3 linked regions of the Bombyx mori genome follow. The protein of the gene in region 3 purifies or fractionates together with the protein of the main gene of each other region. This does not show direct contact. Links are inferred from orthologs where the notes say so. Each region holds a gene or a part of one and is shown on either strand. Other genes may lie near its edges. The genes, in order: U4/U6 small nuclear ribonucleoprotein Prp31, U4/U6.U5 tri-snRNP-associated protein 1 and serine/threonine-protein kinase PRP4 homolog.

Region 1 (3,763 bases), on a different chromosome or scaffold from region 3:
TCAGTCTTTTGTTCTAAACATAGACAGCGAAACTGAAGGTATTCTAGATATGCTGATGTATTTACATAACATAATAGATGTAGGTACGGCGTTGGCGTTATTGCGAGTGCTATACATTATTACGATTGGCACGCCCTCCTCTCGACCGATGTTAACCGCCACATCTGTTCTTCAAGTCAGTGTCTCTCAAATTTTATTTATTTATTGTATAAATTTAACACTTTTAAAGATATTCATGTATCTACCTACGGGTCGATGTCGTTTACTAGTTTAAAAATTAAACCGATGTCTAGCATCGAAGAACGGAGACACGAGTTATAATTAATTTTATTTGTTCCAGTGTCCATTTGCTCGACATCTCTGATCATCTGTTTAATGTTTATTTTAATAGTATTCAGTTTAGTGTTTATTTTAATAGCCCTTAAATAACATGAATGAATATTAATATGGACGTTTCAATGGCACGGATAACACAGAACCTCCAAATGATCATCGTTATTACTATTACCCAATTACGTTTAAAGTGTTTCAAATAATCTACTCGCATTAAATATTAAAATTAATCGTAAAATCGGATCTTCTTATTCTTTTTTGCCTTTCGCGGTTGAAACGATGGGCCCTTGGGGCCCTGAAGCAAAGAAATTTTTGTCAGAAATCTCCAAACGCTTGAAGGAGGCTACACGTGATGCTAAGGCTAGCTGATATTTTGCACAGAGAGTGAGTCTGGCTGTCCAACAAGGTAACGTAGCCAGTATCTTGGGAACTGTGCCTCCTTCAAGCGCATTGGAAGATTTGTTCTACTGTGTGAGTTAATTTAAAAATTAAAGATAAACATTAGACAATTTTTTTTTTATCATAATTACTATTTATCGTAAAATAACTAACATTCATTTATAGTAGATATTTCTTTTTTCATTCAATTGACATGTTTATTAAGCTAACATAGTTTCTAAGGAAATGTTTAGGAAGCTTCGCCGTAACCGATTCGAATCAGCAAAACATTATGCCCTCTCGTCTCTCTTACAGCGATGCTCTTAAGATATCCTTTTATAGGGTTATTGAAGAGAAAACTTTGAAGTTTGATCTGTAAACTAAACTAAACAATGATTGCTCTTGTACGCATATCTAGATATTTATTATTACCTCGATGAGCAGATAAGCTCTCTCAGCCCACTCGGTATTAAATGGCACAGCTCATAGGCATCAAAATGTCATTACCCCCCTTGACATACTGTCGAAGTATCAATTTTATTGCATAACGGCATTGGCAAAGTACAAACTGAAACGCATGATGTTTTGGTGGTAGGTACCCGTAGAGAGTACACCCTGCCCACTAGTAATTATGCAAATTTTCCTGCGATTCATGTTATCTATACTAATATATAATAAAACTGAACCATGCATCCGATTGACTTGAAACTTGGTATCCATGTAGAAAATACATGTACTTAATGGATAGGCTAATATTTATATGAGTGTTGGACTCCCTAGTGACTCCTCCGTTAGTGATGAGAATCTTTGTGGGGTTGAGAAATAATAACGTTAATTTTAAATGCCCAGCGAAACAGGCGGGTACAGCTAGTGTGATATATAATGAGCATATTTCTTTAAAAAATCCTACCCATCTGCAGGATTTGTGCCCCGGCAAAGTCGCATCTCGTGGCTATTCTTCTTCTAGCTTCTATAACGTCAGAAACTGTTTTATTGATTATAATGATTACATACTGTACACTGTCCATATTGTACAATTATCATAATAAGAAAATGAAGCAACATGATATAGAGGAAAACATTGAATAGATTGTGCTGTAATCAGTGGTAATTGCAGTACTTGTCACAGCTTGTGCCGATATATACGAGTAGTACTATTCATGAGTTTCGTCGTTGATTACGCGTAATCTCAAGCTTTTCTGATTGCATAAAAAATTGGTTGTCTGTAAAGTCGGTTTACGGACGATAGTTTTACGTGATAACGTCATAAAGAAACATTGCATGAATTTTATGAATTTAATTGAACGTTTATAGGTAACTGAATTATTATTATTTTGTATAATACAAAAAGGTATTATTTTCGATTATTTTTATTTTCGTTAAATTAACGCTTGGGCCGATCGTGCGTCTCTATCGCTTGTTCCGCGCTCTCGCTTGCACGCTCAGTCTCAAGCGGAACGTGACACTTTTTCGAGCGTGCAGCCGGTGTTCATCGATTTATAAGATGTTATTATCGTGTCAAAAACGTACAGAAGTATGTTGTATATTTGATTGAGCCTAGTACAAAACAAAACATTAATTGTATAAGTTTTGAAGGCAAAAGTAGACGATTGGTGCGGGTTAATAAGCGATCTGACAAATTTAATATAAAAATAAAATCCGTTTTATGAATTTGTAAACTTTTGTAAATACAAATACACGAATGTTGGTCTCAGAGTTGTGTAGTTGTGTAATTGCTTCTTTTTTTTATACGAACCTATTTTTTAGTTGAAATCGTCAACGAAGTTTATAGTACTTTAGTTTCTTAAACTGTCCATGCCTGATTCGTGTGGATGAACCCTTTGAATGGCGATAAAATCGATGACGTTATAGAAACAAAATATAATAAAAGGATTTAAAAAACCAAACCTCAACAAAATGATATGCACCACGAACAGGCAATTTACCGGACAAACCAAGTCATTACTTACTTACTTTGTACTATATATTCTTGCCCACTGAGTTTCTCACCGGATCTTCTCAGTGGGTCGCGTGTTCCGATCCGGTGGTAGATTCAGCCAAGCACTGCTCTTACTAGGGCCTGTGTTAGCAACACCTCCTGGTTTGAACTCCGAGAGCTCACGTACACGCTAGGGTAACGCTGATTGATATAGCCTCAATGCTATCAGCATAGGTAGGGAGAAAAAATGTAGGCAGTTCTAATATTGGGCAGTCGAATTCTTATTATAACTATATAAATTGATATACCACGAAAGCTAAAGTACATATTATTATGCATATGGTCACTGGTGGTAGGACCTCTTGGGAGTCCGCACGGGTAGGTACCACCACCCCGCCTATTTCCGCCGTGAAGCAGTAATGCGTTTCGGTTCGAAGGGTGGGGTAGCCGTTGTAACTATACTGAGACCTTAGAACTTATATCTCATATATCTATGTCTAGGAATGAGATCTAGCTGTCAAACGTGGTAAGAAGTTTTATATAAACCTGCTTCTTTCTAACGCGAAGCAATCGGGTGTTCCAATTTGCTGGGATAACCATTATTATAAGTAGAATACCGATTAATATATTCCAATTCAGAGCTCCAACTCTTTCTTTTTCGATTTCGTATTTTTAGTGCGGGCAGTGGCATTCTCGCTGTGGATTCTTAAGGGCTTCGGTAACCTAGTGACATAGGTTGGTCGTGAATTTATCGAACATTAACACACATTCCTGACCTATTGATCATGATCGTGTAGTAAAGAAAATCATATTGACATGAATGATTAACTTCCAGTGTTATTTATTGTCTTACGGATAATTCCAATTAGCATTACGTTTTACGTTCATTGCTTTTAAAGACATTTATCTTCAATGTACTTACTTGGTCGCAATTCGACCCGAAAAACAATATTTAAAGTAAAAATGAAATAATCACTATAGGTATAATTGTTCACAGGGTTTGGAAATCGTCAATCCTCAAGCCGCAGAAACTAGGACCAACGAAGGCAATGCCAAGTATTTCTCTAATACATCCGGGTTCTTATCTGTGGGAAAGAAATCTGATTAAATTAA
Region 2 (2,700 bases), on a different chromosome or scaffold from region 3:
GAACTAAACCTATTTACGACATCAGGCACTCAGTACAACAAAAAATAGAGTCAGGCGGGTGTAGCAGGTGACCCTTCACGGCAAACATTTTACTATCGACAGTTGTTTATCTAATAAATATTTTTTTTAATGACATTCAAATGCGATTATATTATTACCAGTGAACCTTTGAATCTATGAAATATATAAGATACCTTAGGCACAGCGGCATCTTGCACCTCCTTGAGCCTGAGGCGGCGCGCCCTGGCCAGCGCGGCGTGCAGCTCGGTGTCGGGCTCCGTCTCCTCCTCGTCCACCACCAGCGCCGCGGCCCCCGCCCGCACGTCTGCGGAGGGGACGACAGGTCGATTGATAACTAGTTTTTAGGGCACAGCCCGCTTTTACTTACATTTTTAGGTCGATAAGGAACAGGATTGTTGTAAAGTTTGAAATAATCAGAATTATGTAAATTATAAAAAAATATGTATGTTATGTATCGAGTTTTTATAAGAACTTTAATAATTCATTAAATGCGGACGAGCAGGGCGCGCCGACACAGCGGCGACAAACTATTCGAAACGGGGCTGAAATAATATGATGATCATGCAAACGTGAGATTAAACTACTACATATATATAAGACTGGAGGACGCGTCAGACCTGTGTCGTCGGTGTCGAGTGGCGCGGCGGCGGCGTCGTAGGTGTCCGCGTCGATGGGCTCGTCCTTGGGCTTGGTCCGCATCTTGCCCTGCACACAAACACACACGTACACACGGGTCCGCCCGCGCCGGCGCGACGCTCGACGAGCGGGGCCACTGACCTTTCTCTTAGTCTTCTTGAACTTGGCTTGGATCTCGTGCTGGTCCATGTAGTCGGCTGCGAGCTGCGGCTGCGGCAGCGCAAGCGACTCCATGCGGCGAGAGGCGGGGCCTTGCGCGAGCTGCACATACACAGTTACGTTAACGCACCGCCACGTGACGTGACGCGGCGTGACGTGACGCTGCGTGGCGTGACGCGGCGTGATGCGACGTGACGCGGGCCTCACCAAGAGCTCTCTGCGCCTGTGAGCGTCGAGAGAGGCTTCGTCCCCTATGACGAAGCCCTTGTCCTTATCGAGTTGGTCGGGCTGGATCTGCTCGTCGTACTTGGAGAGGACGGAGCGTCGGAAGCCGAGGGAGGCCTGCAGCTCGGCCTCCTCGTCGTAAGCCTGGTAGCCGGCGCGCGCCTTCTTGCGTTCTTCCACGTTCTGAACAAAACCCATTATATCATTTATTATGGTCTTTCACTGACTGATGTATGTAAGTAAAATAGTAAAAACAGTTATCTTACCTTCTTGTATCGCTCGTTGTCAACAATATTGACATTGATGAGCACATCCTCTGGGTCTTCAGCTAATATTTCTTTATCAGCCAACGTTAGAATGGTTTCACGTTCATCTTCCAACTGTACAGATTATAGATCTATTAATACAGATTTTTTTGTTTCATGTAGTATTTAGAACTAACACGTGTGGTCGCCACGAGATTAGAAATCGTGAAACGAAAATAATCAACGCGTGATTGAAATGCTCAAAGTTTAAACCAACCTGTGATTAGTACAGAACTAAATTATTTCGCATTTTATTAAATTTTTTGGATGACCACAAAATCAAATAGCCTGCTGGTATTCCCATTAATATATGGGGGGTGGGAAGGTGTGAGTACCGCATCGAGCTGGTGCGCGACCCGCAGCCCCCGCAGGCTGGGCGCGCGGTAGGGGGCGGGCGCGGGGGGCGCGCGGGGGGGCAGCAGGGCGGACACGCCGAACGCCGCGTCCATCTCGTCCAGCATGGCCGCCTGCGTACACACATGCTTCACATTAATATCTTATGTTGTCTCTGTGGTGTTTAGGTCATGGATCTAAACTGATAAAACTATTGATTTTTGATTTTTGTTCTCAGCAGCTAAAAAATGCATTTATTGTATGCTCACCCTTTTTGCAGCTTCTTTCTTCTGCGTCTCTATTGCTCTGGAGCGCTTCACCCAGGCCGACGCGTCATCATCGTCAGACCCTTCACCGAGTAGGGTAGTCTGTAATCTAAATGAAATTATGCATTATATTACAATTTTTTTTTATTAATTTCCAGTTTATTTCATTTGGTTCTTATTATGATGATCATTTATTCAAACAGTACTTATTCCTCAATATAATGTAATATTTTATCGTTTATTACAATAATATCAAAAAATTCAAGCCAATCAATGGAACAAAAATATAGTATTTCATACTTCTCTTCAATATTCCTCTTCTCCTTTCGCTCTTTTATTTTCTCTTTGAGTTTTTCTGTTTTCTTCTGTTCAGTGATATTAGTAGCCGGCTTATGGTAGAACTCGCCAAGGTCATCTTTGAATTTACCATCATCTGTGAATGGATTAAAACCATAGTAGAACTCACACTTAAACAGCAAGTTTTAGTTAGTGATCGCGGTCGGAAGACAACTGTGAACACAATATTAATAAAAGCTATATGTACCTTGATGTTGATTTGTTAATGACTTTAATATAATACGTTAATTTATCAACGCAATAAAAAAGAATTTAAAGTTCCTAAGTGAAATTATTTATTTGTTGGGGCTTGACACTTGTAATTAATTCCACTACATAGACAGATACAGATCAATCTATTTAAAAGTTTGTAAGCAGTGGGTAATTTTGCTATAATATACCTATTAAATTTATCTTAT
Region 3 (3,763 bases):
ATATCTAAGGGTATAAAAGTATAATTACTGGTGGTCGGACCTCTTGTGAGTCCACACAGGTAGATACTACTACCCCGCCTATTTCTGCAGTGAAGCAGTAATCCGTTTCAGTTTGAAGGGTGGGGCAGCCGTTATAACATACTGAGACCTTAGAACTCATATCTCAAGGTGAGTGTCAGCATTTACGTTGTAGATATTAATGGGCTCCAGTAACCAATTAACACCAGGTGGGCTGTGAGCTCGTCCACCCATTTAAGTACTTAATATAAAAAAATATATATTTTGGGACAAAGAAATATATTTGATGGTTCATCAAAACATAGGAGATCTATGAAATCTTTGAGCTGCCAATGGTCAAGAAATGATAAAAATGCTATTGGCCCCACAAGCCACAATTGTAAAAATATCCTAAACAGCTTGCATGTTTGCATATTTGATGAAAATACCCATCCGGAACTGGATGACTACATAAAAAATAAGGTAAGGCTCTGCTGGGAGTACTCTAATACCTAGCACACTATCTCATCTACATATAGTCCACACAACTAAGGGCATAATAAAGAGATAATATAATATATATGTGCATAATAAATTATATATTAATGATAGAAACTTGTATAAATAATATATAAGTTTCTATCAGTTATCTATTATATAAGTTTGGGCTCAGAGCCTCCCTTGTGTTAAATAGTAGCAGGTAACTTTCCTCAAATGTTTGAATGTATGTATGTAATTATACATTTTATCATACGTTTATAATAGGTAGTAATAAACTTTTGTATTTTTGATATAAAAAGTTTATAGCAATACTTAAATAATTAATAAATTATTTTTAGAATTTTTTTTTTATAGGAAGTGAATTTAAAAAGTTGTTATTTTCACTTTTTATCCTACTCAGTACATTTGTATGTAATGGAATTTTTCATTTAAATTTTCACTAACTTGAAAATTAAAACATGCATTAAACTCTGGTGACAACCGTATCGCTTGGACTTTTATTCCTATAAAAAGTAAGGATAATAATTTAGATAACAAAGTACTGGTCAAGCTGATTAAAGTGTATTACAAATAAAAAGCAATCTGCTTACTACCAAGGATGGCCCAAGTATTAATCAACACTATAATCAATGGCGGATCCAGGGGGGGGGTCATGGGGGTCATGACCACCTCGTGAGCTGGTTCCAGGACTTAGGTGGACAACTAATTGAATATAATGATTTTATTTATATATTTTGTCACCATACAGATTTTATGTAACTACATACCTTCAATATTTAATTAATTAAATATAATAACTTTGTATAATGGCAAACGCTTGGGAACGAACGCATCTAAATTTGACTATGTGACCCCCTCCTGGCGCCAAAGCTGGATCCGCCCTTGACTATAATAAACTGAACACAAACTTTCAACAGTTTAAAAGACTTTCACAATAAATTGTATCTCCTTTGATTTTACAATCAGTAAATAGAGCAAGCTCCACGTTTAATTTTTCCAAGTATATGGTTCTAAGCGCTTCTCCGGTTAGTAAATGTAATCTCATGACAACTGGTCCTTCTCTGGACTGTAGATTTTATTGGGGCCAATAACAGTTTTATAATTAATTATATTATATTATTTAGTTTTATGATTATTGCTCAATAAGCACATAAAATGACATCAATTTTGCAAAATAAATAAAACGATTTTTAAATAATGTATCACTGACGAGAAATTTTCATTGAAACTGCTGTCTTCAGAATTATTAACCTTAAAATTTTGTAACTTGGAAATACAAATTTTGCTAAAAAAAAATTGCTTCTTGATGTCACTTCAAATATATGGATGTCCTTATTTGTAACCCATTTTCTAATTATATGCTTAATGACTGATTAAACTACACTTTGTGAAAAAAAGTACTTTTGATAATATAAATCACGAAACTCTATAAAGAGTTCACTGATGTTTTTGAAAACGGAATTCATATAATCAGTGGTGAAAATGCTTTCGCTGTGCGCTTTAAGTTCACTGAGATTCGCAAACTTTTAAAACATTTCGTTCGAAGCGTTCCTATTCTTTTTTTTTTTTTTGTTAATGATATTATTATCCAGAAGATAACAATAGCGTTTTGAGAGACAATTCGCTAAGAATGGGAATAAACTTGATTTTTCTAAACATACCGCTATTCCCGTTGCAATCTTTCCAAAAAACAAACTAAATTACGAAAAAATCCAAACATTTGTGGGCATTGTTTCACAGACAAATAGTTCGATAAACTTTGAATAAATTCAATAATAAAAATGTGTGAACTGTACAGTAACTTAGAGAAAATGTATTTCTATTTAGCTTTAAATTATTGTAACTAAACTTCACCTTTAATGAGTAGGTTACTACTATTTAAGTAGAACAAAACTATAAAATAATAAACGTGACACTCTATCTATCAAAGTATCAAACCGTCACGATTTATTTTGTTTTTACAGAGTTCCAACTGGCAATGAAATTTATTCCATAAAACCAAATCAAGGCTTATCCTATAAGTTACCAGAAATCATGTACTCTATGGTCGATTGATCTTCCTAAATTTAAAAAAAAGAATAGAAACCTTTTTTACTTATAATGATTATATACATACCTATATTTTATGTGTGTTTATTTAAATAATACGCTAGTAAAAAATACGCTAGTTTAATGGAATGAAGAATAGATAGACTTTTTAGAAGTAACGCGAGAAGTAAAGTGGTATGAATTGTTTTACTGTGTTTCTTCTTAAGCCGTTTGTCATTGGGAAAGTGAACTAGTACGGAAAGATTAAATAAAGCTATTAGACGTGGCTTGTCAGTCTCTTTCAAAAAATCTACTGAAGTCTCACTAAGTTCCCATCATTTGAACTGGGACATTTCATCACATCTCATCTCGTTTCATTTTATTTGATTTTCTTCAATTTCGTCCCAATTTATAAGTTTTATATTATAGCTTCATTACATTCTGTTATGTAAATATTCATAATTATAGACTATATAAAGTCACCAAATGCTATAGGTACTTAGAAAAAAGAAGCAAGCCATTTAAGCAATGATGCCAACTTAGGAGATTTCTCCCTAGCTTAGGAAAAAATAAATTTATAACTGTGAATGTAAATGAGACAAATTGACCCAATTAAACCACCAATTTCTACAACTATGCACTCCTATTTTCTGATTTAAAGGATAAGACCACCGTTATACAATAGAGAGACTTTGACTTTGTGTCTAAATTTTTATAAAGGAAACAAAACTAATCAAAGCGATCGATTTTGTTAGCCTTCAGTATTATGTCGAGAGTCGAATAATTGCGTGGATGATTAGTATGCAATGATCACTTTGACTGTGGAAAAACTTGCAGACCTCTTGTGCTTTGAGGTATTGAAGCTTGTTTAAAGTATCAGACGGTTTCTATAATATGAGATTAAATGTAGAATTCTTCGTTTAAAACTAAATCTTGTGTTTGTTCCGTACATTTTAGGCCTAATAGACAATACAGTAAAGTAAAGTAGGTACAATCTTTGAATCTAGATAGATTATTCTCAAGTATGTAGTGTGTTAGGGCATATAGTAAGATAGGTGATATTAATATATATATAAGTTCCAGACAGATTCCCGGGGCTTGCAGTGCGCATTACAGTATGCTATAATAAATCTATTGATTGATAGCTTTGACATGCGCAAAGAGCCAGAGTTACGGGTGCATGGCATCTACAGAGCCTGGAATCAGCTAGAGACGATCTAGTCGAGTACTTTCTTTG

The links.
Region 1: the proteins of serine/threonine-protein kinase PRP4 homolog (region 3) and U4/U6 small nuclear ribonucleoprotein Prp31 purify together in Homo sapiens (affinity purification with mass spectrometry; 3 studies listed by BioGRID and IntAct, with this or other methods). This does not show direct contact. The link is inferred for Bombyx mori from reciprocal best matches to the Homo sapiens genes PRP4K and PRPF31.
Region 2: the proteins of serine/threonine-protein kinase PRP4 homolog (region 3) and U4/U6.U5 tri-snRNP-associated protein 1 purify together in Homo sapiens (affinity purification with mass spectrometry; 3 studies listed by BioGRID and IntAct, with this or other methods). This does not show direct contact. The link is inferred for Bombyx mori from reciprocal best matches to the Homo sapiens genes PRP4K and SART1.

Annotation. Positions count from the first base shown.
Region 1 is NC_085116.1:12,759,531-12,763,293, reverse strand, and holds part of U4/U6 small nuclear ribonucleoprotein Prp31, read left to right. Parts: intron 1-3,647; coding exon 3,648-3,758; 3' UTR 3,759-3,763. UniProt on the Homo sapiens protein: Involved in pre-mRNA splicing as component of the spliceosome. Required for the assembly of the U4/U5/U6 tri-snRNP complex, one of the building blocks of the spliceosome.
Region 2 is NC_085118.1:17,269,020-17,271,719, reverse strand, and holds part of U4/U6.U5 tri-snRNP-associated protein 1, read right to left. Parts: intron 2,379-2,700; coding exon 2,246-2,378; intron 2,055-2,245; coding exon 1,949-2,054; intron 1,814-1,948; coding exon 1,682-1,813; intron 1,422-1,681; coding exon 1,308-1,421; intron 1,225-1,307; coding exon 1,024-1,224; intron 919-1,023; coding exon 799-918; intron 727-798; coding exon 639-726; intron 326-638; coding exon 195-325; intron 1-194. UniProt on the Homo sapiens protein: Plays a role in mRNA splicing as a component of the U4/U6-U5 tri-snRNP, one of the building blocks of the spliceosome. May also bind to DNA.
Region 3 is NC_085107.1:3,226,869-3,230,631, forward strand, and holds the start of serine/threonine-protein kinase PRP4 homolog, read right to left. Parts: upstream 2,497-3,763; 5' UTR 2,353-2,496; exon of another isoform or gene 2,160-2,352; intron 1-2,159. UniProt on the Homo sapiens protein: Serine/threonine kinase involved in spliceosomal assembly as well as mitosis and signaling regulation. Connects chromatin mediated regulation of transcription and pre-mRNA splicing.